Coturnix japonica: one gene and its partners. The protein of the gene in region 6 interacts with the protein of the main gene of each other region in a biochemical or structural test. Links are inferred from orthologs where the notes say so. Each region holds a gene or a part of one and is shown on either strand. Other genes may lie near its edges.

Region 1 (4,029 bases), on a different chromosome or scaffold from region 6:
GGTTGGACTAGATGATCTTCTAGGTCTTTTCCAACCTTGATAATTCTGTGATTCTGTGAAATTTCTCAGCTACTTAAAGTGCTGACATACACACTTTCTCTTGCACACACTAAAGAAAAGCTATCTTCAAATGATATTGTTTTTAAAAGGCATTATTCTTACTGTTCAAAGAATTAGAAATCTCATTATTAAAGGAATTTCTGGAATAAAACTGAGACAGTTGACCTTAGCAAGTTTTGTTGGTTTTCCCTGGTGCTACAGTTTCACAACTGGATTTCACACGATCGATACATTCATTTTTCTGAAATAAATAAGGATGAAGTTGAACACGACAGCAAGAGCAGATGAAATTCACGCAGGCAGAGGTAAAACTCATGTCTACAATAAATCACTCCTTCCTCTTTTCCATAGAGAAGAGCTTAACATTGCTTCCTGCTAAGAGTCAGTCTGTGTGAAACCTACACATTCCTACCTACTATAGGACTTCTTTGTTGTCATTGTTCTTTCCCTATCTCCAATTTGTGCATATGTCAATAAAAAGCCAACAGCATTTTCCCCACTGTAATAAGCATTTTGCTCCAAGAGATATGACTAAATATTCCTAGCAGTTGTGTTAAGGAGGGTTTGCATGCTTTGTTTTATTAAAATGACTTTGTTGTTTGGGACAGATGCATGTATGATTCTGTACATTTCCCATATTTTGTGAACTTTATCACAGAATCACAGTATTAACAAGGTTGGAAAAGACCTAGAAGATCATCTCGTCCAACCATTACCGATACTTCCCAGCCAAATCATATTCATCAACACAACATCCAGACGTTTCTTGAACACTCCCATGGTCGGTGACTCCACCACCTCCCTGGGCAGTGCATTCCAATGCCTGACTACCCTTTCTGAGAAGTAATACTTCCTAATGTCCAGCCTGAATCTCCCCTGGTGCAGCTTAAAACCATTCCCTCTAGTTCTATCACTGATTACACGAGAGAAGAGGCCTGGGCAACTGTATTCCTGAGACAAAAACTACTGCGCTATTCAGTTAAACTATACAAAGTATATAGAAGCTTCTAAAATATCACATGTAAGACTACAAAGGACATTTATAACAGTAAAACCATGAGAATTTTGTTTAAAAATTACTGCTTTTTATGTAGTCAAATACACTGTAGGAAAAAATCAGCTTTTTTATATACAAATTTTTAGTAACAGATACTCTACAATAGCCTGCAGTCAGTACTGACATGCAAAATGCCAATACTCAAAGCACATGCCTTAAAACAGCTTTATTTCCTGTGCAGGAAACCCCATGTCAGAGCCCAGACAACAGCAGAAGACTTTGGAAGTTATTTAATAGTAAAAGTATTCGTAAATTCTTTAAAACTCTGATATCTGGTATTATGCTAATTGTTTTAATTGCAGTAATCCATAGCTGAGTAAATACTGAACTTTCTCTAATGTATCTATTCCAGCTCAGCCTGACATAGGTAATAATATTTCTTTTTTGGACTGCTCTTTGGACTTGCAAGAGCTGCTCTATGTCCAATTCGTTGTAATCTTTCCAAATTGGACTCTGTGCATCCCACATCTCCATAAGTCATATTACCAAGTGGAGAGAATGTTCTCCTAGCATGAAAAACAATCTCCTTGAGGAATCAACAATAAGGTACCAAAATAAGACATTTCACTTGCTATTTTTTTTCCTGCTTTGTTATAGTCTCAATCCTTTGACGAGCCAGTGGATTGGGAACAGAAATGAATCGGCCTGGACAATGTCTAGCCTAGAGAGAGCACTGAGGTCAATTGATTCCTCTGTCCTGAGCTCTGTCAATCCCATTTACATCTTATAAGCTCTCGGGAGTGAGAAAAGAATGAAAGAGGCCCTGTAGCTCTCAGCTTTTTACAGCAGAAAAAGATCTTATTTTTCAAGCCCTTCATGAAACAGAAGTGAGATGGTGTAACTATGCTTCTTAAATTTTTCCATTCGTGACTTGAAGAAGTATTCTTGTCTATTCGTTTATTACCTGCTACCTCAACATTCCACCCAACAGATTCTGTATTGGTTACAGAATTCATTCTCTCCTGCTTCCAAGTTACACCTCGCAGCTCTTTGCCTTTTCATTTGCCCACATGATAAACTGGCTGCCCACTGAAAGAGAACAAGACGCTTCACTCCTTATCCCCAGCACACTGCAGTCACCAATCAACTGCAGTACTTTTCCTCTAAGGCCAGACCTCTGTCCCCTTGCAGAAAGAGCAAAAAGACACCACCTTCACTTTGGAAAGATGCTACACTACAACTGCTGTACACAGACGTGTAGATGGTGCAGCAATACAGATCCTTGCTACATTTTTTTTTACCAGGGCTGGCAACATCCCCTCCATTCTCTCCACACACACACACACACACATCCACCCCTTCCTGCCTATTAGCACAGTCTTCTCCACCCCACCACACTGATTCCCAGAACCGATGTACTTTCTCACCCCATTGACGACGTAACTCAGGATCTCACGGCGGCGTCGCAGCCCTAAAGACAAGAGGGTCCATCCCCGTGGCCGAGCCCAGCCCAGCGGTGCTGCCGTTTCCCTTTCTCCCCCATCGGATGAGTCCTCCACCCCACTCCACTCGCTCCCACCATTGACAGCTCACCCAATCCCCGAGAAAGGAGATATACCCAGCCCTCATGAGGCGTCCCCACCCGCAGACACAACACTGAGCTCCCCCGCCACAATCCCAGGCCCGCCGAGCCCCCTCACAGACCTGTGGAGCCAGCCATCTTGTCCAAACCCCCCCGCGCCGGGCCGGGCCTGCACGCCAAGCGCGTCACTACCGCCAAATGCATACGGCACTTCCTGCATAGGGGCGGGCCGCTCCGAGGGGCGGGCGAGGAGGCGGATATATGGGGTGGGGCCTGGCTGTGAGGGAAGGGGGTACACAGGGAGCCGATTGAGGCTGTTGTCTTTCCATATACGAAACGTTGCATCTGCTCAAGCTTTTAGTTCTTCCATTGCATTCTGTTTCTTTTGACAAAGCTGCTATTTCTGAGCAAACGGGAATAAGCAGCGCTTTCAGTGCTTGCAGTGATAGAATGAGAAGTGAGCTTTCCGAGTACAGCAAACAGTATGAACACGCACACGCAGCTATAATAATTAAAGACTTTTCTCCTTTATTATAACATCCTGGACATTAGGAAGTATTACTTCTCGGGAAGGGTATTCAGGCATTGGAATGCACTGCCCAGGGAGGTGGTGGAGTCACCAACCATGGGAGTGTTCAAGAAACATCTGGATGTTGTGTAGATGAATATGATTTAGCTGGGAAGTATTGGTAATGGTTGGACTAGATGATCTTCTAGATCTTTTCCAACCTTGATAATACTGTGATACAGCGGTCACTGTAGAAGATACCACAGCCTGGAGTGGAAAAAAGAAATACAACGTGAACTGTCCTTATTCTTCTGGTCGAGATTCAGCCCATTTGTTTTTCTGAAGGATCTGCTTTTTCAGGTGATTCTATACTAACAGTCAATAATACGCCCATGTGTCTTCTCAGACATGATACAAATAGGGCAGCAAGGCTACCAACCCAAAGCAACTGGCTCTCAGTAACTCTGGAAGCACACAAAGGACTCCATGGTCCATCTGCATCTACACCTGCTGACTTGATGTAGGACACGTGGTTGCTGGCAACAAATTATTTCGATGTTAATTGCAGACGGAGGAAATAAAGAAAAGGCAGGATGCAGGAGGAAGAAATGGTATCCATCCCATTCCTGAGGATGACTGTTTAAGTAATATTTGGAACAATGTCTGGAGAAAAGACAAATAAAGAATAATATTTCCCCTTTTCTCTGTTTACAGCAAGCACAAACATATGATAACTGTATCTTAGAGCAAGTCTACTGCAAACATTATTTTTATCTATTTTCGTGTAACTTTAAGTGAAATAAAGGATAGACATCTGAATGAATGGCAGTACAATCACAAATCAAGCAAAGCTCAATTCCCTTTTTTCTTTACACAGAATAT
Region 2 (3,588 bases), on a different chromosome or scaffold from region 6:
TTTACTTCAGCATTTTATCTAACCAGCTTGCTCGGTGATTAGGTGCACCGGTAAACAACACATTTGCTTTCTGAAAAGCCCTTCAGAGTTCAGGCTCCAGCATGGCCTCCTCCTGAGGTCCTTAATACTAGAATGTGAACAAGACACACAGGCTTGTGTTCTCTTCTGTAAAGCAGTAAGCAGGGAGAACTGTCTGAATGATATTTGTACTTAAAGTTTACTAACTAACTGTTGGGGAGTTGAATCATTCTGCTCTTTGTCTGTTTAATGAATTCTTTCTACTACTACAGCAGAAGCAGGGGGAAGCAAAGCCTCAGTCTATACTTCTGCTATCAAAATAAGCAGTCTTGGAAAACTGAACCAAGATGTTTACCTGGAATGTCTTATTTATGAGATGAAATAATACAAAATATGAAACTTGCCAACCTTAAAAAGTGCATCTTTCAGGCTCCGAAGAGTTGTTCCTAGCTCTAAGTCTTCTGCAGAACTAAACCAGTCCAGCAGTACAACATAATCAAAGTGTCCTCTCTTCTTCCATGGATCTTTAGAATCCTCTGGGAGTCTAGCTTCAATCCAGCTAGCAGTAACTCTGAAATGTATCAATATGCATTGAAATGGGAGATGGCAACACTTCATCCAACAATACATAGAACCATATACATTTATGAGTCTGGATAAATTACATGCTCTCTGGATTTAAGTTGGTACATGCAAGAACAGTCTGGATGTATTTCAACAATTTGTATGTATTGGGGACTCTGAAACTAAAGTGTCGGAGCTGTAAAAGCCTATGATCTTTCTAATGCAGAGTTAGGTTTTTTTTTGTTTTAAGAGAAAGCAAGAAACACCATTTCAGGGAAATGAAATGTTTCATTATCATTTAACATTATTCCATACCCAGCACTGATAGCTTCTTCTGGGACGCTGACAGATCTTGGAATACAGGACTCCTGGTAGTCCTTCAAGCTTCGAGCATCCATTATAATCAATTCAATGCTTTTGTCTGTCATCATTGCAAACAGTTTCTCGGCTGTGACTGCTCCTAGAAATATAAAAACTGTTAGATACTAAAAGCTACAAAAAAGTATCATTGATTCTGGAGTAATCAAGACTGCAAACCGATGACATAGAACAGAAAAGTACACAATACGTTAATACACGTTCTTCCCACAAAGCCATGGAGCTGAGAGTGCAAAGCAGATTGATTCTTTTGCTCCTGCTACTGCAGTGATTAACAGCTAACCTGCTGAAATTGACAATACTGGATGCTTGATGATAAATGAGTTTAATTTGTCATGGACTCTTTTAACTCTTATAGGTAAGCACTCATGAGCTACATACTGCAGATGTTCTCTAGAGTTCTCTGCTGAGAAGGAACACTTTCACATTTATTACAGGACCGGGATGGGCAGGAGGAATTTCTTATTTAACTGAAAAAGTTGTCACTCCTCAGCCTTGCTTAGATTTTTTTTTTTCTTATCAGTTGAAAAGACATTTTTGTTATCTATGAATTTAGTTATTAAATTAAAAAACAACAACAAAACAAACCTCAGGTCCACTTTCTAAGTTCAAGAAAAGTCATGAGGATGTAAATACAGAGCTTTGTCACTAAGCTGTTATTACTGAAATACAGGATAGCAAAATTTTATCCAAATATTCTGACAGTGAAATAACCTTAAAGAACTGCAGCAGCAGAAGCAATAGGTACATAGGTATGTAGAGACTTTTATCACACCTGTGTAAATGTTATTATCTCTTACCACTAAAACTCTCAGCCTGATCCTTTCTTTCCAGTGAATGCTTCGTTTCACCATTAATCTGTGTTGTACAGAAGGGAAAAAACAGTAAGTTAAATCAGGAACTAATCCTGAGAACCAAGGTGGCCAGCAGACACTGATTCTCATACAACTGGAGGGAAGCTGGCCAAACTATGCCACAGGAAGCAGTCTAGGAAAAGAAAGCTTCTTTACAAGACTGTCTTAAAGACTTTGAGGTTACTAGAACTCAACTTTTTGAGTTTTCTTTGGAAAGGTAGTAGGGAGTATAAATTAATTAAACAAAAACAACCCACACCAAAACACGATTCAGTACGATTCTGAGCTGGAGATGGCTAATAAATATCAAACAGTAGATTAAAACTATAACTGAAATAGAGAGCTTGCAGATATCTTCAATTACCCTTTGGCTTTTTCCTTTGCAATCCACTGTACTTTCTGATGAGGTTTTGGCTGAACTCTTTCCGTCGTCTTTTGGTTCTTGCTTTTTCTGCAGCTCCTGTCTGTCCCTCTCTTCAAGTTTTTTCCGTACTTCAGCTTCCTCATATCTGTGGAAACATAAGTGTTGTGTATCTTCTTCCCCGCCCCCCCTCCAATATTACATAATAAGCTGGCAGTAGTTAATTACTACCAGCAATAGCAAGTCCTGGTGTGGGGTGGACTTGGGTGAAATACTCCCCAGCACCCACTCCTTGCAGCAAACCCCCATTTTCATCCATGACTGCTTGTATTGTTTCTCCTGCTTTTGGGATGATTTTCTTCTCCTATTCCACAGCCATTACTCTTAAGGCTTACAATTCTTTTTCTTTAAACTGCTGTCACTAGTTGCAATAGATTCTTTATTTCATGGAAGCAAGAGTACAAATGGGTCACTTGCAAGTAAACTTCCATATACTGTGACAGTCATCCAAGCTATTTTATGTGGTTTTGCAACAGTGCAGATAATAGTTAGACAGTTATCTCAGTTCTCTGAACTTCCTTTTTTTGGGAAGTTGGATCAGAACTACCTGTACAGCAGTGGTCATCTTCAGGGTGTAAGCTGATGTTATAGTTCTGTTGTGCCCTCACCAGTTTCCCTGCTGTTCAAATTTTAGGTCTACATTTACTTCTATGCAAGAATCACATACACATTTTTCTGCAGACCGAAGTCCTGCATGTAGATGTTCCTTTCAGCCTTGAAAGTTAACCTCCCAGCCACTTGCTTTTGTAAGGACAATCACAGAAGTGTAAACCAGTGGCCTCTGTACTACAGCTTTTAGATCAACTTCAGGCTGTTACACTCACAATGCTGTTAAAGGGCATTATATTATATTTAACACAATTGAAATGATGAGGCTTAATAGTGCTCTACAAAGCAATAAGTGTTTGGAACTAACAGTGTTGATGACTGAGCCAAACAGTAGGGCTTGAGAACTGAATCATATCAGTAACTGCTCATTCTAATTAGATGATGACTAATAAGGATTCAAATGACAACTACTATGCAGCTTTATTTCATATTAAACACTGCGTTAATAAACTAGATCATGACATCAAATTCTGCCTCAAACTCTGTTCTGCTAATTGGCCACTAATAGGAAGCAGGCTGCAAGCCTAATTTTATTTCTTAAACAGACTTCTAATTTACAGTGACTTTGCCAAATCAAGAACAGAGCTTGTTAGCCGTGGAAGCTAATGGAACTAAAGAATATTTAAAGCTTTTGCTGAGTTCAGTCCATATGGTGTATTTACCGATCAGCTTCCCATGTACCCTGAGGTACACAGCAGCTCCTTCATAGAAGTAATTCTAAGACTATACAGTGTGTCAGCAGCT
Region 3 (3,588 bases), on a different chromosome or scaffold from region 6:
TTGTGTTTCAGGATCTCTTCCTCCTATGTCAAATCACTGGAAGTCTCAGCATCCTTTTCATGGAAGGCTGACGAGCAACATGGTTTGCAAACACTGTGAACACCAGGTATAAGAAAGCTTGTTGTGTGTAGGTATACATGAAAAATGATGCCTGAGATTCAGTGTGTTCTGAGGTGAAACCATCATCCTTTGTTTCCAACATAATTGGTTTAAGCTCAATAGTTTGCAGGAATAACAGCTTCAGCCATTATTTTTTTCAGCTACTTGTATGACGTTTTGTATTGAACAAGAAAACATTGCTGAGCATACCAAAGAAAATGAAGTGTGATGCACTTCTTGTGGCTGACAGCTGTCTTACCAGGCAGAATAATTGTTTTATTACATTCAGTATCCAATATCACAGATATTATATACTGAAGATCCACTCACACGGGTAGCACTTTAGGACTAGCTGTTCGTTCAGCATGTGGTATTGTGATGGCGCATGCAAAGGCAAATTAAGTTGCAGTCACCTGAGGAAATGAAGATCACCTGAATAGAGCAAAAATACAGAAAACAAATGTAATTCATACATCCAACTATAAGGTACTTCTCAAAAACATGCAGATTTAGAAGTGAGCAGGGGCAGCTTCAGTAGAAACAGGCAGAGTAGTACCTTGTGCACTGCATCAGGTGTTTCCTAGCACTAAAACTGGTGGGGAAAACAAGTGTTTTAATGCTGTTCCACTGGATATACACAGATATGCTTGCTTTGCAGAACACTGTTGGGAGGCAGTGATTGACCTGTTTTGTTCTTTAGATCATTGCAGGTATTTTTGCTCACTGCATTTGAAATATTCTCTTGCAGAGTCCTGTGAGGTACGATACGTTTGACAGTCTCTCACTGAGTATTCCAGCCGCTATGTGGGTATGTATCTGCCTTTGATGGGTGACCCAGCCAGCACTGCTGCCTTGCCATCAGGGCTTTATCTTCACTATTATCCTTCTACAGCCTCAGTAACACCTAAACGAGGTGTTACTATAACTATTGTTGCCTTCATAAACAATCCTGATGTGTTAACACAGTACCTTACTACTAAGGCAATGCGGCAAATGAGCAATTAGTATTATGGGCATGATGTTGGCACTGAGTTTTCCTTCTCCTAGTGGATTATTTGGGGTGTTTTTTTTGGTTAATTTGAACAGACCAGATTGCATCCTGAGGGTTGTGCGTCACTGGCAGACTCAGATGACCTTCCAGTGCCCTGTCTCTGTGGTGAGAGAATGCCAGTTAACCAGCACAGGCATTCAACTGGAAATAGTTTCTGTTTCTCACTGGCTTTGTGAAGATCTTTAAATGATAAAACACTGTAGAGCTGGGGGCAAAATGTGCAGGACCTTTGTACTGTAACAGTTACCTTATGTCTGCAATTAATTTCTTTTGCTGTTGTTCTAAGGGTCATCCTATGACACTGGATCACTGCCTCCATCACTTCATCTCCTCTGAATCTGTGAAGGATGTTGTGTGTGACAACTGCACTAAAGTATGTCATTGTAATGCATGTCTTCATGACTTCAGGAAAGCCTTTAGCTTGCCTGGAATTTATTATTCTTAAAATAGTTATTACCCCACAGTATTTTGAAGCTTTATTGTTAACATAATAAAACTTACAAGTGCTTTATTTGGTATTTGGGTAATATTTAGGAGAACAACAACAACAAAAAGTCCTGTTTTTAAATGTTACTTTATATTTGCCTGTACTTCGATGATAGAAAGCCAAAATGGATTGTTTGAAACCTAACAGAAATGGCTACATGTAAACTAGGTTTGTCTTCTAAGAGCTCATTTCTGCTCAACTTGGTGTTAAAACGTGGATCTATCAGAATAGGCCAACAGCTCTTGAGAGAGGCAAATTGTAGAAGATATTCATGACCCAAAGGTAGCTTGATATGCAGCATGCAAACCTGCAGCAGGATTATTGCTTGTAATTTGATAATGGCATGTAATCAAACTTCTCTGTTTTCCTTTTGTTTTCAGATTCAGGCAGAAGGGACTCTGAATGGACAGAGCATAGAAAACCAGAGAACAACATTTGTTAAGCAATTAAAGCTAGGGAAGGTAAGGCAAGCTGACCCTCCAAATCCATTTTTAAATCCTGTTAAATAGTAATCTCTTTATTTGATCTGTTTGCTTGATGTCTACTTCTGCTACTTATTACAATTCTCTGTTCCCCTTAAAAAGAGAAAAAAAAAAGACAGCTTTTTGTCAACCATTTGTAGGCATTGAAGCCTCAATCCAACAAAGCTCTGAACTCTTTAGCTTAAAGAATGTGAGTATTCTACTGTTATTCACCAAAACACTTGAGTTTGGCTTAGGTGCAGTTTGCTTGCCCTGTATTAGTTTTTTATTCCCTTGGTGAGTAAAGCAACTCATATATACAACCTATTTGTAGGATAATATGTGCACTTCAGAGTTAAAATGTTCTAAATAAAGAAGGTTTAAACAAGAGAACATAGTGCTAAAGAATAGGAGATTTATATTAGAGGTTCTTACAAGTTTCTTGTTCTGTGATCATATAATTCAGGGCCATTCATAATACAGTTTCATTACTGACAAAGGCATGACTTTGTCTGTCAGATATTTATAACTCCTTGACCTTTTTTCCCTGGGTACTCTTACTATGTGATGCCATTAGTTATGGCATATTAGGAAATGCCTGGCAGCAACTTACTGACACAATTCTAGTGCTCATTCCTACCTTACTAAATGAGATGGGCTTTTGAGGAATGTGTGTGATTTTTACCCTTTTTTTTCCTTCCCCCATTTGGAGAAAATAATTAACATGCTCTATCCTACTGCCTAGTGAGCAATAGAAGCACTATTAGAGATCTCAAAAGTTGTGAGATTTTTCTTATGACTCAGAAATATTATTGCAGTAAGCTTAGATACAGAAATAGCATGTAAAGGAGCAACAGTTCAGTGACTTATTTCCTTATCTACTGGACTCACCATTTAGTTCCATTAGAATGCTTTTAACAGCTGTTTCTCTTCACTTAAAATGTATTTTGACTTCTCTTTTGTATGGAACTTTGAAGCTCCCTCAGTGTTTGTGTATCCATCTGCAAAGACTGAGCTGGTCAAACCAAGGTACTCCTCTGAAACGTCATGAACACGTACAGTTCAATGAGTTCTTAATCATGGACATCTACAAATATCACATTCCTGTTCATAAATCAACTCAGAATGATCTGAATCAGAAAAGCTCTGAAGAGACAAAACCTGGAACAAAGGATGGGATAGCAGTAAAACCTTCAGGTATTTACCTCTTGTCTTTAGATATCATACCTGTCTCAACTGTAAGGGACTGTGATATGTAATGAATTAAAATAAGCAAACTACCTTCACATTCTGTGATGACACTGTAGAAACAGAAGCAGTTATTAGCAATACTTGTAGCATTTTAGTTAAATTACCAATGTCTGCTTTGTTTTGCAGATGCAGAACAGACGCGTGGTACCAAATCGCTCCTTATGAATGGGGCCTGCTCCTCTTCATTTCTAATGTCCCCGGGAACTTTTCCACTCACTGCATTCCCTGAATGCAGGTAA
Region 4 (3,588 bases), on a different chromosome or scaffold from region 6:
CTCGATATATGCATGTGTGTATACAGCTGTAGTTGTCAATTACTGCTCACTGCTTGTTTTCTTTAATAGGGGCTAGCAGTGTTCCAGCATTTTTTTCTGAAGATGACTCTCAATCGAATGATTCTAGTGACTCGGATAGCAGCAGCAGTCAGAGTGATGACATGGAACAGGAGACCTTCATGCTTGATGAGCCTCTGGAGCGAACCACAAATAGCTCACATGCCACTGGTGCTGCCCAGGCACCCCGTTCGATGCAGTGGGCTGTACGTAATACCCAGAACCAGAGAACCACTAGCACTGCTCCTTCTAGCACATCGACCCCAGCAGGCAAGTATGAGTAAAATGCATGTGTGAATGTCACTTAACTCCTGGCTTTGCTCTTCTGTTTTCTTCTGTTCGTATAAGAATGAAATGTTATATATTCCTTTAAGAAGGATAGCAATGATATGTCTTGACTGTTCCAGTTCTGGGTTTGAATTTAACAAAAGCAGGGGCCTAGTCTAGTTCTTGAGACGTTACTATCTATATTAAGCATATTTATAATTCTTTTTTGTAGATAGTAACTTATTAATAGGTATAGTTGTTAGGGTCAGTAATATTTACAAGTTTTTTTCTTTCCTAGAAATGTTAATTATATTTGTTAATACATAAAATGCATGACAGAGTTTAAATTCATTAATGTCATACTTTTATATTTAGCAAGTTCAGCAGGCTTGATTTACATTGATCCATCAAACCTACGCCGGAGTGGTACCATCAGTACGAGCGCTGCAGCAGCAGCTGCAGCACTTGAAGCCAGCAATGCAAGCAGCTATTTAACGTCTGCAAGCAGTTTAGCACGAGCATACAGTATAGTGATACGGCAGATATCTGACCTAATGGGTCTCATTCCCAAGTACAATCATTTAGTGTACTCCCAGATCCCAGCTGCAGTGAAGCTGACTTATCAAGATGCAGTTAACTTGCAGGTAAGAATATCCAAAACTTTGCAGATAAGCATAATTTCAATGCAGTGGAATTTTTTTTGAGGTAGGATGATAAAATTGATGAGGTTGAAAGGGACCTTTGGAGATTAATTAGACCAAATTCACTGCAGTGTAAGGCTTTTGAGGACATAGAATTTCTCAAAGAGTGGAAACTTCTTAACTAGTCTGGGCAACGTATTTCAGTGCTGGACAGATCTCACAGTGAAAACATTTTTTTCATTATGTTTAAATGAGTTTACTAAGTATTTCAGTTTGTGCTTATTGCTCTCTGTCTCTTCACTGGATACCACTGAGAATATTCTGGCTTTCTACCTTTTCACCAGGTACAGAGTCATTAAGAACCTACTGAGTTTGCCTCTTGAGGCTAAGTGGTACCAGCTCCCCTGGGCTCCCCTTGTTTGAGAGAGAATGTAGACTGAAGTAGCTCTACTTTACTAGTCTCATTAAATTGTTTGTATTTTGATATAACTATTCTTTAAAAAAAAGAAATTTCTGTGGTTTTTTTTGGTTTGGTTTGTTTTTTTTAATCTACTTAAGTTTGACTGGCACCTGATTAATAGTTGGAGTTTGTGTGCTTTGGATATGTTAGCTCTTGCCCTTTTCTTTTTGACCTGAGTATCATAAAATACAAAAGCTAGTGAGGTCCAAATAACTGAGGTAAAGAATTCTCCAAATTTACTTTTTTGCTGTTGCTTCTTGCAGGCACATAATCATCCCTTCCCTCTTATGTGCATGTTTTTGGTACTGTGCTCTTGACTGTTGGTCTTAAAAAGTATGTGTGAAATGCAGAATGCCCCTTTAGAGAAATAACTGGAAGGGAGGATTAGTAACTGGCATGCATAGGCAGAAACTAATCTCAGACAGTAAAAACATCTGAAGGAGGAACTTCAGAGGGTTTTGGATGTATTTATAGCTTTGAATAAGGGCATAGTGTATGGAGGCAAATAATCTATACAGAAGTTAGTACAGAAATCCGCTGTTAGGGGTATTACTGCTGGTTTGGAGAGTTCAGGAATTCAAGCAGTGATTTATTTATTTATTTTTCTTCTGTTTATAGTTCTGTATTCTGGGATGTGGAAATGAAGTAATTACTTGTAGTTGTTCTATGAGGTATCTCTACTGGCTGTATGTTCACAGACCAAAATCCCCCAAATCTCTGCATCTGGGGGTGCTGCGTGGTCATAAGGCGAGGCTTAGAAAAGGTGCCCAAAGAAAAGAGAGGGATGGTGAGAAAGCTTTACAGACCTCAGGCTAGCAAGTGATGAGAGCTGTACACCTTAATGGTAAACCAGCTGTCTCAGTAAAGGTCTCAGAATTATTTTTTAAACTTTTCACTCTTGAATGGGCTTTTACAGCCCCTTTGTGGGAGAAGTGATGTAAATGTAAAAGCCATGGGTGGGGGCTTATGTTGAAATTGCATTCTTATCATCTAAATCTGTTGTTGGTAAAACTCACTAAATCTCGTTCTGTATAGAATTATGTAGAAGAAAAGCTTATTCCTACTTGGAATTGGATGGTTAGTATAATGGACTCCACAGAAGCTCAGCTGCGTTATGGTTCTGCATTAGCATCTGCTGGTGATCCTGGGCATCCAAATCATCCTCTCCATGCTTCTCAGAACTCAGCTAGAAGGGAAAGGATGACAGCCCGGGAGGAAGCCAGCTTAAGAACACTCGAGGGAAGAAGGTATGAAAATAGTCTGATTGCTGCATGTGCTATGAGTGCTATTTTTACAGTCAAATCTTTACATTCACAGATATTTAAGGATATTTAAGGATTTACTTTGGTAATATAGCAGTAGTTGTTTGGATTTAAAGTGGCTTTTTGTGTTGTTGGTACAATTTTGTTTATTCCGATTTCCCATGAAATCATAATCATTACTCTTATTGCACTTCTTTGAATTTTGACATCTGTATTTCAGATGCAGAGACTGAAATGGAAAGGATTCCTGTGGTGCCTAATTCTTTTGTATTCCTTTCTTTCACCAGGCGCGCTACTTTACTCAGTGCCCGTCAGGGAATGATGTCAGCACGTGGTGATTTCCTCAACTACGCACTGTCTTTGATGCGTTCTCACAATGATGAGCATTCAGATGTTCTTCCTGTTCTCGATGTCTGTTCACTAAAGCACGTAGCCTATGTTTTTCAAGCGCTTATTTATTGGATTAAAGCGATGAATCAACAGACAACATTGGATACTCCTCAGCTGGAACGGAAAAGGTATCATACAAGTCTGACTCACAGAAACAAACTTTTGTAAATGTTGCACATGCCCCCATCTTTCCATCTTTGAAGGTGCTAATCAGCAGCTCAAATAAATACGTTTATCTGTATACATAGCTGACTCTGAACGGAATGCCTCCTATTTATTTCCATGGAAACTACAACAGATACAAAGAGCACAGTACTGCTATTTGATAGGGCAGATTTTCAGCTGCAAAATGCTTTTTCAACATGGTTACCGCCATTACCTGTGTGCTTTTTACCAGTGATGAACGGGAGCTGGCAAGCCACACTTGTAAAAATCTGTACCAGTGGAGGTGACCCACACTTTCACAACTGCTGTGATGGCATCATTGCTAGGAAAGTTTTGCCTACACAAC
Region 5 (4,259 bases), on a different chromosome or scaffold from region 6:
AAAAGACGTGGCAGAGTTTATGGATGTAAAGCAGCGTGGCACCTTCAATGCGCAGCTGTCGGATGGCTGTGTGCACCGCGGCCGCCCGGTTCTTCAGGAAGAGCTCACACGCCTTGGTGGACTGGCCCAAGCGAATAAGCTGGGACACGGCTCGGCGTGTGGCCCGTGGTCCTCCTCGCAGCGAGCGGTCCGGAGACAGCTCAAAGACCAGCACGTCCGTAAGCTGCCGGACCCGCTCATCCACCTTGGCCCGCAACTCCTTCACGGGCTGGCTCACAGGCTTGTCTCCCAAGTACTCGTTGAGTTTATCGAGCAGGTCCACAGCCCCTTCAAAGTCCCGCTGAGCGATGCAAACGTCCAGGTCCTCCGGCAGCTCCTGGATCCACTCAAGCGAGAGGTCGACCACCTCCTCCTCAACGGAGGGCTCTTCTTCCTCCTCGTCCTCCTCCTCGAAGGGGTTGGTGGACTCAGGAGGTGTCGGGGCGGGCCGGGGCAGGGCCTCCTGCTCCAGGCGTCGCTTCTCGCTCAGGGCTCGGTTGCGCTTGGTCTCCTCCAGCACTTCCAGCCACTCCTTCTTGATCTTGGCGTTCTCGGCCTGGAAGATGCGGCTCTCGGGGAACATGAGCAGCTTGAACATGTCCTTCATGGGCGGGTTGTCCTTGACGTTGACCACGGCCAGCCCTTCGAGGGGGTACAGGGCATCGTAGCGGTAGGCACCGCGGCGGTTGGGCAGCGCGGTGGCCACCAGCAGGCAGTCATTCATCAGGAAGGCGTGCACCCGCTGGATCTGCGCCATGTGGTCGGCGTCGTACTCCAGCAGGTCGCCGTTGTACACCAGGTACTTGCCGGGGCTCTCGGGCAGCAGGTCGCGGCATCCCTCCACTTTCTCCAGCAGGGTGGTGAGCGTCCGCTGCCGGCCCTCCTCGCTGGCCGCGGCCTCCTTGGCCGACAGCGGCAGGAAGGGGTCGGCGGCGGCGGCGGCGCGGCGGGCGCCCAGGGCGGGGTCGTCGCGGTCGGCTTGGAGGAGCAGGGCCTGCGTGACGGCCTCCATGATGCCCTTCTGCTCGGTGAGGATGTGGCTGAGCTGGTACATCTCGCTCTCCAGATAGCTGATCTCTCTCGCCGTCTCGATGAACTGCCGGTAATTCTGGTAGACGTTGCGCTTCAAGCTCTGCGCCGTCTCTTCTTGCAGCGCTTGGATGCGCTGCCGGTGCTCCTGCAGATCCCGGTCTCCATCCGACTGCTGCGACAGCTGCTTCACGTACTCCGCCGCCGCGAAGCCCCCCGACTCCAGCTGCCGCCGCAGCCGGCTGCCACCGCCGCCCTCCCCCAGCGCCAGCGCCATGCTCACACACACCGACACCGACACCGACACCGACACCTTGGGAGGAGGAAGGGGCGGGCGGGGAAGCGCGGCGCACAATGAGTGCGTCAGTGCGGGGTGTGCATGCGCAGCTCAACGGAGCTGGTTGGCGCAGTCATGGCCGCACGGGGACTGACGGCGGGTGTGGAACGAGAGTGGCAGCAGCAGCAGGAGGAGGATGACTTCGCTCTGGCGCTGCAGCTCCAGGAGCTGTGGGAGGCGGAGGAGGAGGCGGCGCCGGCTCGTGTAGAGGCCTCGCCGGACCCCTTGTCCCTCCGTCCGCTGTCGGTGGTGGATGAAGCCTGGGAGCTGCTGGATCCCAGCCCCGACGTGCACGGCCTGTTCGTGCAGTTCAACCAGGCGCTCTTCTGGGGGCGGCTGGCGGCCGTGGAGGTGTCGTGGAGCCCGCGCATGACCCTGTACGACATGGGGGGGTGAGGGGGGAGGTGGGGCTGGGAGCCCCCGGGTGCTGCTGATGGGGTTCTGCACCCTCCTCTCGTTTGGAGGGGGGCTGCTCAGTATTGAGCCGCTCTGTGACAGTTCTCAGCTGACTATACATAATAAGAGCATCGCTTACGATGTTTTGTTCCCTGGTCTCTTTCAGCTGCGCTGGAGTGTGTAAATACGAAGGGAACAGCGGGATGTGTTCTATCCGCCTGAGTGAGCCGCTCCTGAAGTTAAGGCCGAGGAAGGACCTGGTTGAGGTACACGAAGGCTGCTGACATATCCAAACTGGAACTGTTCAATGGAACAGGCTGCCCAGGGAGGTGGTGGAGTCTCCTTCTCTGGAGATATTCAAGACCCGCCTGGACACCTGCCTGTGTGACATGGTGTAGGGAGCCTGCTTTGGCAGGGGGGTTGGACTCGATGATCTCTAGAGGTCCCTTCCAACCCCTACAATTCTGTGATTCTGTGAAACATGAAACAGATGGCACCTCACCTCCCACATCTTATGTTTCATACTGGAGTTCATACATATGGTGACTCAGATATTATGAATGCTCAGGTTTGCTTAATGAACAGAGGTGCTGTAATTTCAGCCTCCTTACATGTAGCTCTTTGTTCGTGGGGGTGTGACCTCCTTAGAGGTCTGACGAGCTTCAGGATTGTTTCTTCTTATTGCAAGGACACTCAGCATTGCACTGGAGTAGAATTAACAACTTCACACATAGAATAATTATTGTGGACCATCACTCAGTGTTATATGGAAGCAGAGTTAATGATCTCACAGGTAGAATAAATGTTGTGTTTTTATGACGTATAAAGATGAGATCAGTGCAGAGATGAATGAAAAAGATAAAACATTTCAAGCTTAGTTTTTAAATTACATGTAATGCTTACCCTGGAGCACGTCCCCTATGAGGACAGGCTGAGGGAGTTGGGCTTGTTTAACCTGGAGAAGAGAAGGTTGCGGGGTGACCTCATTGCAGCCTTTCAATACCTGAAGGGAACTTATTCCCAGGAGGGGAGTAAACTCTTCGAAAGGGCTGACAATAGCAGGACACGGGGAAATGGTTTTAAGTTGAAAGAGGGAAGATTTAGGTTGGATGTTGGGGGGAAGTTCTTCACTAGGAGAGTGGTTAGGCCCTGGAACAGGCTGCCCAGGGAGGTTGTGGATGCCCCAACCTATTCAAGGCCAGGTTCGATGGGGCCCTGGGCAACCTGATCTAGTAAAGGTGTATGTTTGGTGGCCCTGCCAGGCAGGGGGGTTGGAACTACATGATCCTTGAGGTCCCTTCCAACCTGGGTCATTCTGTGATTCTCTGTGATGCTGTTCTGTGATTCTGTAACGCTCTTCCATTAATAACTGATGATTTTCATTGTTTCAGACACTGTTGCATGAGATGATCCATGCTCTGCTTTTTGTTACTAACAACGACAGAGATCGTGAGTCTCACGGGCCGGAGTTCTGCAAACACATGCGTCGCATTAATCGTTTGACTGGAGCCAATGTCACAGTAAGCAAAGTTCACTTAATGTAAAATATATATATATATAGTCATGAATATATAGTAAGAATTCTTCTGATTGATTGGAGCTTGTTGTATCTTTTTGTTAACACTTAGATCTATCATAATTTTCATGACGAGGTAGATTCGTACCGGCAGCACTGGTGGCGATGCAACGGCCCCTGTCAGTATAGAAGACCTTATTTTGGGTATGTGAAACGTTCAATGAATAGAGCACCCTCTGCACGAGACTTTTGGTGGGCTGAGCATCAAGAGAAATGCGGAGGTACGTTCACAAAAGTGAAAGAACCTGAGAACTTCTCTAAGAAACACAAGGAGAAAACAGAGGCAGGAAAACCTCAGGATTCCAAGTCAACCAACAAAGGTATTTAAAATCATTTATTTCTTTGTTTTCCCAACTGTTCTTATCCAAACAGTCCCTTGAACTAACATCATGATGTGAGCTTTGTATTGGGTATTAAATATTAAGTAGGAAAGAACAGGGCCTATTTTGTTAATTTCCAGGCTTCTCAACTGTATTGTTCATGAGGTTTATTCTGCTGCGGTGTTTTCAAGCTGCAGATTTTCTCACGTAAATTGGTGGTTTATATATGAAAAAAGTTGTTAGATTTTTGTGTTTTCTTCTTCTTTGCAGGCCTGGTCCACTTGGGTGATAAGAAAGATCCAAAGCCTTTTAGTGGGAAGGGGTATCGACTGGGAGGAGCAGGCAGTGGACTCTCAGAGAAAAGCTTAACGTTCAGCAGCAGTGTTAAAAACAGCGAGAGCTGTGATTCGCAGCATCGTTGGGCAGGAAGCACAGTGCCAAGACCTAAAAATGAGATCAAGTTTGAGAAATCACCCCGTCACGATACCTTCTTTCCTCTCTTTAGCGGTGATGCTAGTGAGAAAATGAACTTAGCTTCAAAGCGGGAGTTCCCCAAGCTCTC
Region 6 (4,112 bases):
CAGGATACACGTCCTGTATTTACAGGTTTGCATTTATTTATACACAGTCCAGTCAGTTGCTTATTCACATGGAGCTACTGGAGGAAGGGCAGTATGTGTGCTAAGTACTTAGATATATTTAACTAGAAAACAACTGCTTTCGTAAATAGTTTACTCATAGGATTTGGCAATAGTTTTTTTGCTTGTTTGTTGAAGGGAGGGCTCTGGCATTTTCTGAAAGTGCCGAAATCCTTCATGCAAACCCAAAACACCCAGGGCAGACTTTAGCTTAGCGTTGTGGTTAATATCCAGTTTAGCAGCTGTGGCCTTTCACATTTGTAAATATTATTGCTAGTTTCTCATGGCTTTCCTCTCAGAGCTCCTTGTTTAGCTGCCTTGGCTCTAACCTCTGCTGCTTTGGTGCTATGTACACGAAAAGAGCCTATTGGAAACAGTGAGCAAAGTTGGCAGTATTAAGGAAACAGCGTTGCTTAAGTAAGGCCTTTGTCCTAAATCTACGTAGTCCTAAATCTACGTAGTCCTAAATCTATGTAGCTGAATAGTATCTCCGAGGTTTCCAGTTTCTCTTTTCCTCCCTTCCCGTCTACATTCTGAGTAACTGCTGGGAAGATTTATGTCCTTTTTACTGTAAACCAAGTGCTGAGCAGTCACAGGCCTTGCTAAAAGAAGTGAAAGCTCTCTTTTTAACTGGGGGAAATACAGCCCTGTGTTCAGTCCTGCTATTCACACACACGTTCGTGCTTCCTAAGCAGAGGATTTACCAGCAAGTTCATCTGTGTTCACCGAGCAGTAAATGAAACAGCAGAGAAACCTTCCTGCTTTCTGCATGCTCTGGTTATGATATAAGAGCTGTTCTGAAAGGTATAATGAGCTTTAATGAACACAAAACATGCCGCCACGTCGGCTCAAAGCAGGAAGCTGCTGTGTGACCTGTTCAGTGCTTCCTGTTCTGAAAGCAGCAGTGGGCCTGCTGTGATTAAGGGGTATTTTTGCCCCCTTTCTCCTTGTCAGACCCTTCCCTAAGCAAATAACAGGCAAAAAGATGCGGCCTAAACACAACGTCCCCATGGGCGCGGGGCCTGCCCGGCCTCTCCCTGCCCCCACTCTACGGATCTGCGCATGCGCACACCCCCCCACCCCACCGAAATCTGCCCCCGCAGAGCAGGGCCGCCCTAGCAACAGCGCTGACCTCACCGCGCACCAATCAGAACGCTGCAACGCTGGAATCTTCCAGAGCTTTCTTTACAACGGATCTTTCCTTAACAACCAATCAGCAGCCACCTTTCTTACTGCTGCGCCAATCAGCGCCGATCTTGCCACCGTTGGGATTAGAACGTTTCATTAGGCCGTTTCACCGCAGCTCCAGATCCATCCGCGCCCTCAGAACTTTTGGGATTTTGAAGGGTCTCCTCTCTCTACCGAGGACATCACGGACCCCATTACTCCTGGAGGAGGGATTGGAGCGGTAGAGAGGTGAGTATTGCTGGTACCGGGGGGGGGTTCGTTTGGGACTACTTTGAGAGGCGGAGGGATACGTCAGCGCTTTGAGGGCGGGGACTGTGCGGCGCAAGGAGCATAAATAGGGGCGGCGCTGCGTCACAGCGCAGAACACAGCGACTGGGATCGGGATTGCATTGATCGGAGCTCAGGGCCGGAGACGTGAGTTGTGTGGGGGGAGCGCTGAGGGGGGGGAGAGAAGGGACGGTGGTTTTTTGTTTTCAAGGCAGAAGGGGTTGGAGTGAGTCCGCTTGGGGTTGTATTTGTGAGGGGAGGTGGTTGTGGACGGTCTAATCCGGCCTAAGGGCGCTTGAAGAACGGTGCGAGGGGGGGGGGGGGGCAGGGGAAGCTTGTGGCTGAGGAAGGTGGGGTGTTATAAAGATGGCGGAGCGCGGCGCTGTGCGGCCCGGAAGCGGGAGCTGAGTCAGCGCGGCTGCAGCCGTTGTGCCAGTGTGAGAGCACGGGGGGGTGCCCTGGAGTTAAAGGAAGGGGGGTGCTGGGCTCGGCCAGCACAGGGCATTCAGAATTATAGGGTCCTACCTCAAGGAAGAGGTGGGGAACAGGAACAACAGGGTTAGTTATAGCTTATTGAAATCCTAAATGATGTAACGTAATGCAAATTAGTAAGTTGTTCTTTTTTTTCTCGTTTGTAAGGTGTATGTGGACTTAAAGTGCTTTTTAGCTAAGGCTAAAATTTCTGTATGTTTTTCAGGTAAACATGCAGATCTTTGTGAAGACCCTGACTGGCAAGACCATCACCCTTGAGGTTGAGCCCAGTGACACCATCGAGAATGTGAAGGCCAAGATCCAAGACAAGGAAGGCATTCCTCCCGATCAGCAGAGGCTGATCTTTGCTGGCAAGCAGCTGGAAGACGGGCGCACCCTGTCTGACTACAACATTCAGAAAGAGTCCACTCTGCACCTGGTGCTGCGCCTCAGGGGAGGGATGCAGATCTTTGTGAAGACCTTGACTGGCAAGACCATCACCCTTGAGGTTGAGCCCAGCGATACCATTGAGAATGTGAAGGCCAAGATCCAGGATAAAGAAGGCATTCCTCCCGATCAGCAGAGGTTGATCTTCGCTGGCAAGCAGCTCGAAGACGGGCGCACCCTGTCTGACTACAACATCCAGAAGGAGTCCACCCTGCATCTTGTGCTGCGTCTGAGGGGAGGGATGCAGATCTTCGTGAAAACCCTGACTGGCAAGACCATCACCCTTGAGGTTGAACCCAGTGACACCATCGAGAACGTGAAGGCCAAGATCCAAGACAAAGAGGGCATTCCTCCCGATCAGCAGAGGCTGATCTTCGCTGGCAAGCAGCTGGAAGATGGGCGCACCCTGTCTGACTACAACATCCAGAAAGAGTCCACCCTGCATCTTGTGCTGCGCCTCAGGGGAGGGATGCAGATCTTTGTGAAGACCCTGACTGGCAAGACCATCACCCTTGAGGTTGAGCCCAGTGACACCATCGAGAACGTGAAGGCCAAGATCCAAGACAAAGAAGGCATTCCTCCTGATCAGCAGAGGCTGATCTTTGCTGGCAAGCAGCTGGAAGACGGGCGCACCCTGTCTGACTACAACATCCAGAAGGAGTCCACCCTGCATCTTGTGCTGCGCCTCAGGGGTGGGATGCAGATCTTTGTGAAGACCCTGACTGGCAAGACCATCACCCTTGAGGTTGAGCCCAGCGATACCATTGAGAACGTGAAGGCTAAGATCCAAGATAAGGAAGGCATTCCTCCCGATCAGCAGAGGTTGATCTTCGCTGGCAAGCAGCTCGAAGATGGCCGTACCCTGTCTGACTACAACATCCAGAAAGAGTCCACCCTGCACCTGGTGCTGCGCCTCAGGGGTGGGATGCAGATCTTTGTGAAGACCCTCACTGGTAAGACCATCACCCTTGAGGTTGAGCCCAGTGACACCATTGAAAATGTGAAGGCCAAGATCCAAGACAAAGAAGGCATTCCTCCCGATCAGCAGAGGCTGATCTTTGCTGGCAAGCAGCTGGAAGATGGGCGCACCCTGTCTGACTACAACATCCAGAAGGAGTCCACCCTGCACCTGGTGCTGCGCCTCAGGGGTGGCTATTAGTTGTTGTCAGCAGTCTTGTCGAGCAAGATGCACAGCACTTGTGTTTGCACTGTAGTCTTTCTGATGTCTTAAATTAAACGCAAGCTTAAGTAACTGCTGATCTGTATGTTGAAATGCTAATAAAGTTTTCTGTTGCACATTACGTTCTGTTGTCTGTCTCAGTTCAAGCTAGTAAACCCAGTATATATAAATGACACGTTCCTTTTGGCTTTCTTCCATGGTGGTTTAAGCATCTTTATGTGGGTTGTGGAGGTATTTGAGGGTGAATCCTAACATGGATTAAAGTCTTAAGTCTAAGCACTAGTACTGTGTCACTAAATCTTGCTAGAATTTAACGTGATTCTGTATTTTCAGAAAGGATGCAGTGTTCCTGTAAGGACTTCAGAAGCTGCTGTCCATCATTAAGGCTGTAGGACTAAGGTAGTGGGAGTGGGTTGTACACTGCACTGTGTTAGAATGGGTGGTGCTGAGGTTCCATTACCTCACTTAGGTGTGACTTCTCAGTGTCCTTGGTGCAGTTTTT
Region 7 (4,267 bases), on a different chromosome or scaffold from region 6:
GTTGCAGAATCTGTGCTATTCCAGCATGGTTTGCTCTGACTGTTCTGATTAGCAGTACTGCTGCTTGACTCGGCACCGTTATTCTCTTGATTAGAAGCAGGAGTCACTTTGCTTCTCTGTCCTCCGTGTTCCACATCAATATCAACTTCAATACCTGGGAATACATTTGAGACCAAGAAAAAACCATTAGATTTTTGAAAGCACGGTTCTAAGAAAAAAAGCAAACTTTAATCCTGGACTAAGTGCTGCAGCATGACTGTAACCCTACAGCTCCCCATATAATACGTATGAATTCAAGTGCAAAGCGTTCTTTTAGTTAGCTCTGATGCACCAATTAGTCATCCTGCACTAAAAAGACAGGCCATGTGTTTAGAGGGTCAAGGCAGACCTTAAGTATGTGTGCCTAAGCAAAATACCACTGTAACATGATTTTAAATCATCGGTGATTTGGGGTTATATAATTAATCCCTTCCTTGGATCCTTACAAAGGACTCTGAAAAGGTACTGAGTAGATGGCCTATACCCACACAATTTTAGTACACAGAAACTTAAGGCTTTTGAGGCTGAGTAGCACAAAGTGGTTCTGGTACCAGCCACAACAGCTGGCTGCTGCTCCTGGTGGGAGCAAAGCCATTCTCAGGGATGGGGATGACACACCATAAGTCACTTACCCAGGGGGCTCAGAAAAGCTGCCACACTCTCCCCAACGTTCTTTAAGAAGGTGACATTGGGGTCCTGGGGCTGGCTGTTAGTAGAAGCTTCTAGAAGAACAATTTGTGTTAGTACACATAGCAGCCCATAGGGAAAGAGCACATCCCCAGGAATTCTTGGTGCTTGTTTTGTGTCACTCATCTGCACAGCACCAAGGCAGCAGAGAGACCAAAACCACCTCTGGAACAGAAGACCAGTGGCATTAGCACTGTTAAGGCTCATCAGCCATGCTGAAAGCACATCTAAGAGCAGAGCAGTGACATGCTTGACCTAATAGCTCTGCTTGGTCTGGTTCCAAATAGGCTCTCCATAACCTCATATATTGTGTGGCCACCAGACCACACCAGTGTCCTGGAAAGGGCTCATTATTTCACACAAATTGGATTAGTTCCCATGTCTATTTTCCCACCCAGATCCCACACTGGGCTGTGAAGTCCCAGCTTCTCTGGCTCCTCCACTACTATTCTCCTTTAGCAGACCATCTCCTCTTACCTCCAGCAGCGGGTGGACTGGAGGCAGCAGCACTGGCCTGGGCTTGTTCCGAGTTCTGGCACGGAGCTGCAGGTGCGGGATACCCCCAGCAGTGCATCCAGGGGAAGGGTGGAACACCATGCCGCATCTTACGGAGCCAGCGCCCTCTGGGAATCCACTGCAAAGGGTAACGTTCATGGGACCAGGTGAAACTTAAAGCTTACATTTGGGCAGCATCCCTTTTGTTGGTTCTGCTCCATAGGTTTTGCTCACCTCAAACGGATTCAGCAGCGGGCTCTGAAACATCACCATGTTGTGCTCCTTGTGGATGCCTTTCCCCTCACAGGTGCTGCACAGGTCGTAGTCTGGGCAGACGGTGCACTTAAATCGAGCGCCCACCACCGGCCCCTCGCAGCCGTCACAGATGACATTGGGGTGCACCATGTCCCGGGGAGGCTCCTGGCTGCACTGGGAGCGATGTTCACGCCTGCACTCCTTTTTCTCTATTAAGGAAAGGGATCTTTGCATCAAGAACGAGGGTACTATTTAAAGGCTGGAAATCGGGCAGAGGGGAAGGAAACACAAACAGCCCTTGTCACAGCAGTATTGACTTACTAGGGCAGTTTATTTTTACACTGGCTGCCAAACACAAGCTGGGGGCACATAAGAACATAAACCAAGTGCAAAGGGGTGGTTCAAGGATACCCGCTCTTCAAACACTTTGTTTTAGATCAGTGCTGCACCACCCTGCCTGGAGCATCCTCCTACCTTGTGGAGTGCTGCGAGAAGAGAATGTTTCTGAACAGAGCTGAGCAGTGCCAGGGGACACTGCAGGTGAGAACTGAGACAAGAAGGGCGGCCTACACTACTCACATCACAGCCTACAGATAAAGCTTTGTAGGTGTCCAAGTGAACAGAGCGGACTGGGGAATGATGTGCTTAGGAATAAGCTGGTTTTGGGGTTTCTTTACATGTCATGGCACCTGCTGGCAGTACGGCAGGGGGTTCCTAGGACCATCCTGAACACTGCAGCGCTCACTGTGCCAACCCAGGCCCCGGAGCCAGGAGGAACCCCTGCACACAGTGGGTCTGTGCCCGTCTTTACCTCGCCCTTTATGTAACCTCCCCTCTGAGCTGCAGCACGAGGATGAGGGACAGGACCGGGATTTTCCCGGTCTCGGAGCCGTGCCAGCAGCACAGAGCGCTCGGTGCCACCGGGCTGCGGGGCGTTACCTTTGATGTACACACGGAAGACCCCGTCCTGCACGTAAGGCATGGCCATATCCAGCTCCTCGTCGGTGGAGAACGCGATCAGGTCCCCGTCTTCATCTGGACAGAGCAGAGCACACCGTCAGGCGCTCGGCCCGCACCCACCTCCCGGACAACGAAGGGGGCCCCGACCCACAGCGAGCCCCCCCGCCCCGCTCACCCTTGTAATGCATACGGAACGCGGGCGGCGGCCCGGCCCGCAGCAGCCCCTGGAAGAGCTCGGCGACGCGGTCGTGGACGGGCTGGTAGCGGACGGGAGCAATGAGCGAGAAGCGGCGGATCTCGCGGGCCGCGTCGTCCTTGCCCAGCAGGTAGGCCTTCACCGTCAGCGCCGCCATGGCTGTGGCGCAGCACGAATTGCTGCGGGACAACGAGCGGCGGGAGGCGGCGCGGGGCGGGCGGTGCTGCGGGAGGGAGCGGCGGCACCGAGCCTTATAGAGCGGGGGGACGGGCCGGGGTGGGCACAGCCCTGGGTTAAACCACGACCACTGCCATTAGGCACCGCCCCGCCGCCTGGAAATACAGAGCCCATATTCGCCCCGAAAGTAATGCCTCCTATTTATCTGCATGGAAACTACAACAGCTACAGAGATCACAGTGACGCTGTTTGACAGAGCAGGTTCTCAGCTACAAAGCACTGTTTTTCAACGCGGTCACCACCACTGTGCTGTGCATTGTCATCAGTGGTGAACACGAGGCTGCATGCTGCTCTACAGGTGACTGTGAAACACACGGCCATGCCGTGCTCACAGTGCTGTGCTCACAGTGCTGTGCTCACCCACTCGTTGGGCTCCATAACACTCAGCAGCTGTTGGCTCCTTCACCCTCTGCTGCCATCCCACCTGCAAATGGGAGGCATTACTTTTGGAGCAACCCCTTTGCCTCAGCTCTGTAGCACTGATTCCCTCCAGCCCACAGCCTGGCTGCCCACCTTGGGCTGAGGCAATCACAGTGTGTAAGCCATGCTGTGCTGCACTGCAGGGTGAGCGTCCCCCCACGATGGGTTGTGTGTGCCACAACACGGCCTGCCGTGTGGATGTGCCCTTGGTGCACATGTGGCTGCTCTGGGATCACAGCACGCTCCTGGGACGTGGCACTCGTGCAGCATGAGGTGACAAGTGAGAGCTTGGTGTGAGCCACAGCCAGGCATCAACATGAGTCCTTGCTCTCCTCCATGGGCACTTCCATCCAGTAAACATGGAGAGCGTCCCATCTCAGCTGCCTGCTGAGTCACGCTGGGCTCTCTGGCCGTGACATCATTCACTTTCTCAAAGCACAAAGCAAACAAGGCCTGCGGTGAGCAGTGAGCTCAGCTCAGTCACGGGACGGGGTGACTCAGCATTCCCTGCTCCTCCTCGAGGTGGGGATTTCCTCCTCCAGGCCCTGACTCTGGTGTTTCCCCGTGGCCTGGTGCTTCGGCCCTGCCGTGCTCCCATGTATTCCAATGGCACTCACTGCATCCTCCCATCCCACAGCCGGACGGACAGACAGATGTCTCCCCACCAACCCCAACTGCACACTGCTCTGCAGCCTGAGATTTGGCTTAAGCTCTTGTTAACCTGAGCCTGTATTAACCTGGAGGACCCAGGCCTGGAATTTATCTGGCAGCACTGAATGTTTTCTTGCTCTTCTTTAGGAACCACATTCCATCCATAGAACAACCCTTGCTCAAAAAACCACTTGTCAGCCCCGGCTTATGAGCAGCTCCCCAGATGGACGGAGCAGGAGGACAGCAAAGAGGATGGGAATAAAACTGTTCCAGTTTCACGACTCCAAGTTGCAGAGGGAGGGCTCAGAAAGGAGCATTCAGCAGCCC

Evidence for each region.
Region 1: the proteins of UBC (region 6) and UBE2V2 are reported together in a solved structure, tested with the Homo sapiens proteins (6 studies listed by BioGRID, with this or other methods). The link is inferred for Coturnix japonica from reciprocal best matches to the Homo sapiens genes UBC and UBE2V2.
Region 2: of the proteins of UBC (region 6) and USP8, one has a biochemical effect on the other in vitro, tested with the Homo sapiens proteins (9 studies listed by BioGRID, with this or other methods). The link is inferred for Coturnix japonica from reciprocal best matches to the Homo sapiens genes UBC and USP8.
Region 3: of the proteins of UBC (region 6) and USP30, one has a biochemical effect on the other in vitro, tested with the Homo sapiens proteins (5 studies listed by BioGRID, with this or other methods). The link is inferred for Coturnix japonica from reciprocal best matches to the Homo sapiens genes UBC and USP30.
Region 4: the proteins of UBC (region 6) and UBR5 form a complex in vitro, tested with the Homo sapiens proteins (7 studies listed by BioGRID, with this or other methods). The link is inferred for Coturnix japonica from reciprocal best matches to the Homo sapiens genes UBC and UBR5.
Region 5: the proteins of UBC (region 6) and SPRTN form a complex in vitro, tested with the Homo sapiens proteins (5 studies listed by BioGRID). The link is inferred for Coturnix japonica from reciprocal best matches to the Homo sapiens genes UBC and SPRTN.
Region 7: the proteins of UBC (region 6) and SQSTM1 form a complex in vitro, tested with the Homo sapiens proteins (32 studies listed by BioGRID and IntAct, with this or other methods). The link is inferred for Coturnix japonica from reciprocal best matches to the Homo sapiens genes UBC and SQSTM1.

The regions. Positions count from the first base shown.
Region 1 is NC_029517.1:97,620,184-97,624,212, reverse strand, and holds the start of UBE2V2 (ubiquitin-conjugating enzyme E2 variant 2), read right to left. Parts: upstream 2,868-4,029; 5' UTR 2,844-2,867; coding exon 2,762-2,843; intron 1-2,761. UniProt on the Homo sapiens protein: Has no ubiquitin ligase activity on its own. The UBE2V2/UBE2N heterodimer catalyzes the synthesis of non-canonical poly-ubiquitin chains that are linked through 'Lys-63'. This type of poly-ubiquitination does not lead to protein degradation by the proteasome.
Region 2 is NC_029525.1:9,622,920-9,626,507, forward strand, and holds part of USP8 (ubiquitin carboxyl-terminal hydrolase 8), read right to left. Parts: intron 2,324-3,588; coding exon 2,179-2,323; intron 1,819-2,178; coding exon 1,761-1,818; intron 1,043-1,760; coding exon 898-1,042; intron 590-897; coding exon 427-589; intron 1-426. UniProt on the Homo sapiens protein: Hydrolase that can remove conjugated ubiquitin from proteins and therefore plays an important regulatory role at the level of protein turnover by preventing degradation. Converts both 'Lys-48' an 'Lys-63'-linked ubiquitin chains.
Region 3 is NC_029530.1:5,778,884-5,782,471, forward strand, and holds part of USP30 (ubiquitin carboxyl-terminal hydrolase 30), read left to right. Parts: intron 1-11; coding exon 12-106; intron 107-358; exon of another isoform or gene 359-531; intron 532-847; coding exon 848-907; intron 908-1,436; coding exon 1,437-1,523; intron 1,524-2,017; coding exon 2,018-2,098; intron 2,099-2,989; exon of another isoform or gene 2,990-3,075; coding exon 3,076-3,295; exon of another isoform or gene 3,296-3,475; coding exon 3,476-3,584; exon of another isoform or gene 3,585-3,588. UniProt on the Homo sapiens protein: Deubiquitinating enzyme tethered to the mitochondrial outer membrane that acts as a key inhibitor of mitophagy by counteracting the action of parkin (PRKN): hydrolyzes ubiquitin attached by parkin on target proteins, such as RHOT1/MIRO1 and TOMM20, thereby blocking parkin's ability to drive mitophagy.
Region 4 is NC_029517.1:117,682,764-117,686,351, forward strand, and holds part of UBR5 (E3 ubiquitin-protein ligase UBR5), read left to right. Parts: intron 1-69; coding exon 70-327; intron 328-699; coding exon 700-968; intron 969-2,460; coding exon 2,461-2,672; intron 2,673-2,974; coding exon 2,975-3,205; intron 3,206-3,588. UniProt on the Homo sapiens protein: E3 ubiquitin-protein ligase involved in different protein quality control pathways in the cytoplasm and nucleus. Mainly acts as a ubiquitin chain elongator that extends pre-ubiquitinated substrates.
Region 5 is NC_029518.1:35,753,737-35,757,995, reverse strand, and holds the start of SPRTN (sprT-like domain-containing protein Spartan), read left to right. Parts: upstream 1-1,446; 5' UTR 1,447-1,447; coding exon 1,448-1,782; intron 1,783-1,967; coding exon 1,968-2,067; intron 2,068-3,192; coding exon 3,193-3,321; intron 3,322-3,429; coding exon 3,430-3,697; intron 3,698-3,967; coding exon 3,968-4,259. Other genes in the region: EXOC8 (exocyst complex component 8), read right to left, coding at 1-1,345. UniProt on the Homo sapiens protein: DNA-dependent metalloendopeptidase that mediates the proteolytic cleavage of covalent DNA-protein cross-links (DPCs) during DNA synthesis, thereby playing a key role in maintaining genomic integrity.
Region 6 is NC_029534.1:5,348,119-5,352,230, forward strand, and holds UBC (polyubiquitin-C), read left to right. Parts: upstream 1-1,312; 5' UTR 1,313-1,473; intron 1,474-1,534; exon of another isoform or gene 1,535-1,659; intron 1,660-2,209; 5' UTR 2,210-2,215; coding exon 2,216-3,589; 3' UTR 3,590-3,731; downstream 3,732-4,112.
Region 7 is NC_029528.1:4,616,660-4,620,926, reverse strand, and holds the start of SQSTM1 (sequestosome-1), read right to left. Parts: upstream 2,867-4,267; 5' UTR 2,790-2,866; coding exon 2,612-2,789; intron 2,512-2,611; coding exon 2,416-2,511; intron 1,686-2,415; coding exon 1,456-1,685; intron 1,361-1,455; coding exon 1,204-1,360; intron 762-1,203; coding exon 672-761; intron 155-671; coding exon 1-154. UniProt on the Homo sapiens protein: Molecular adapter required for selective macroautophagy (aggrephagy) by acting as a bridge between polyubiquitinated proteins and autophagosomes.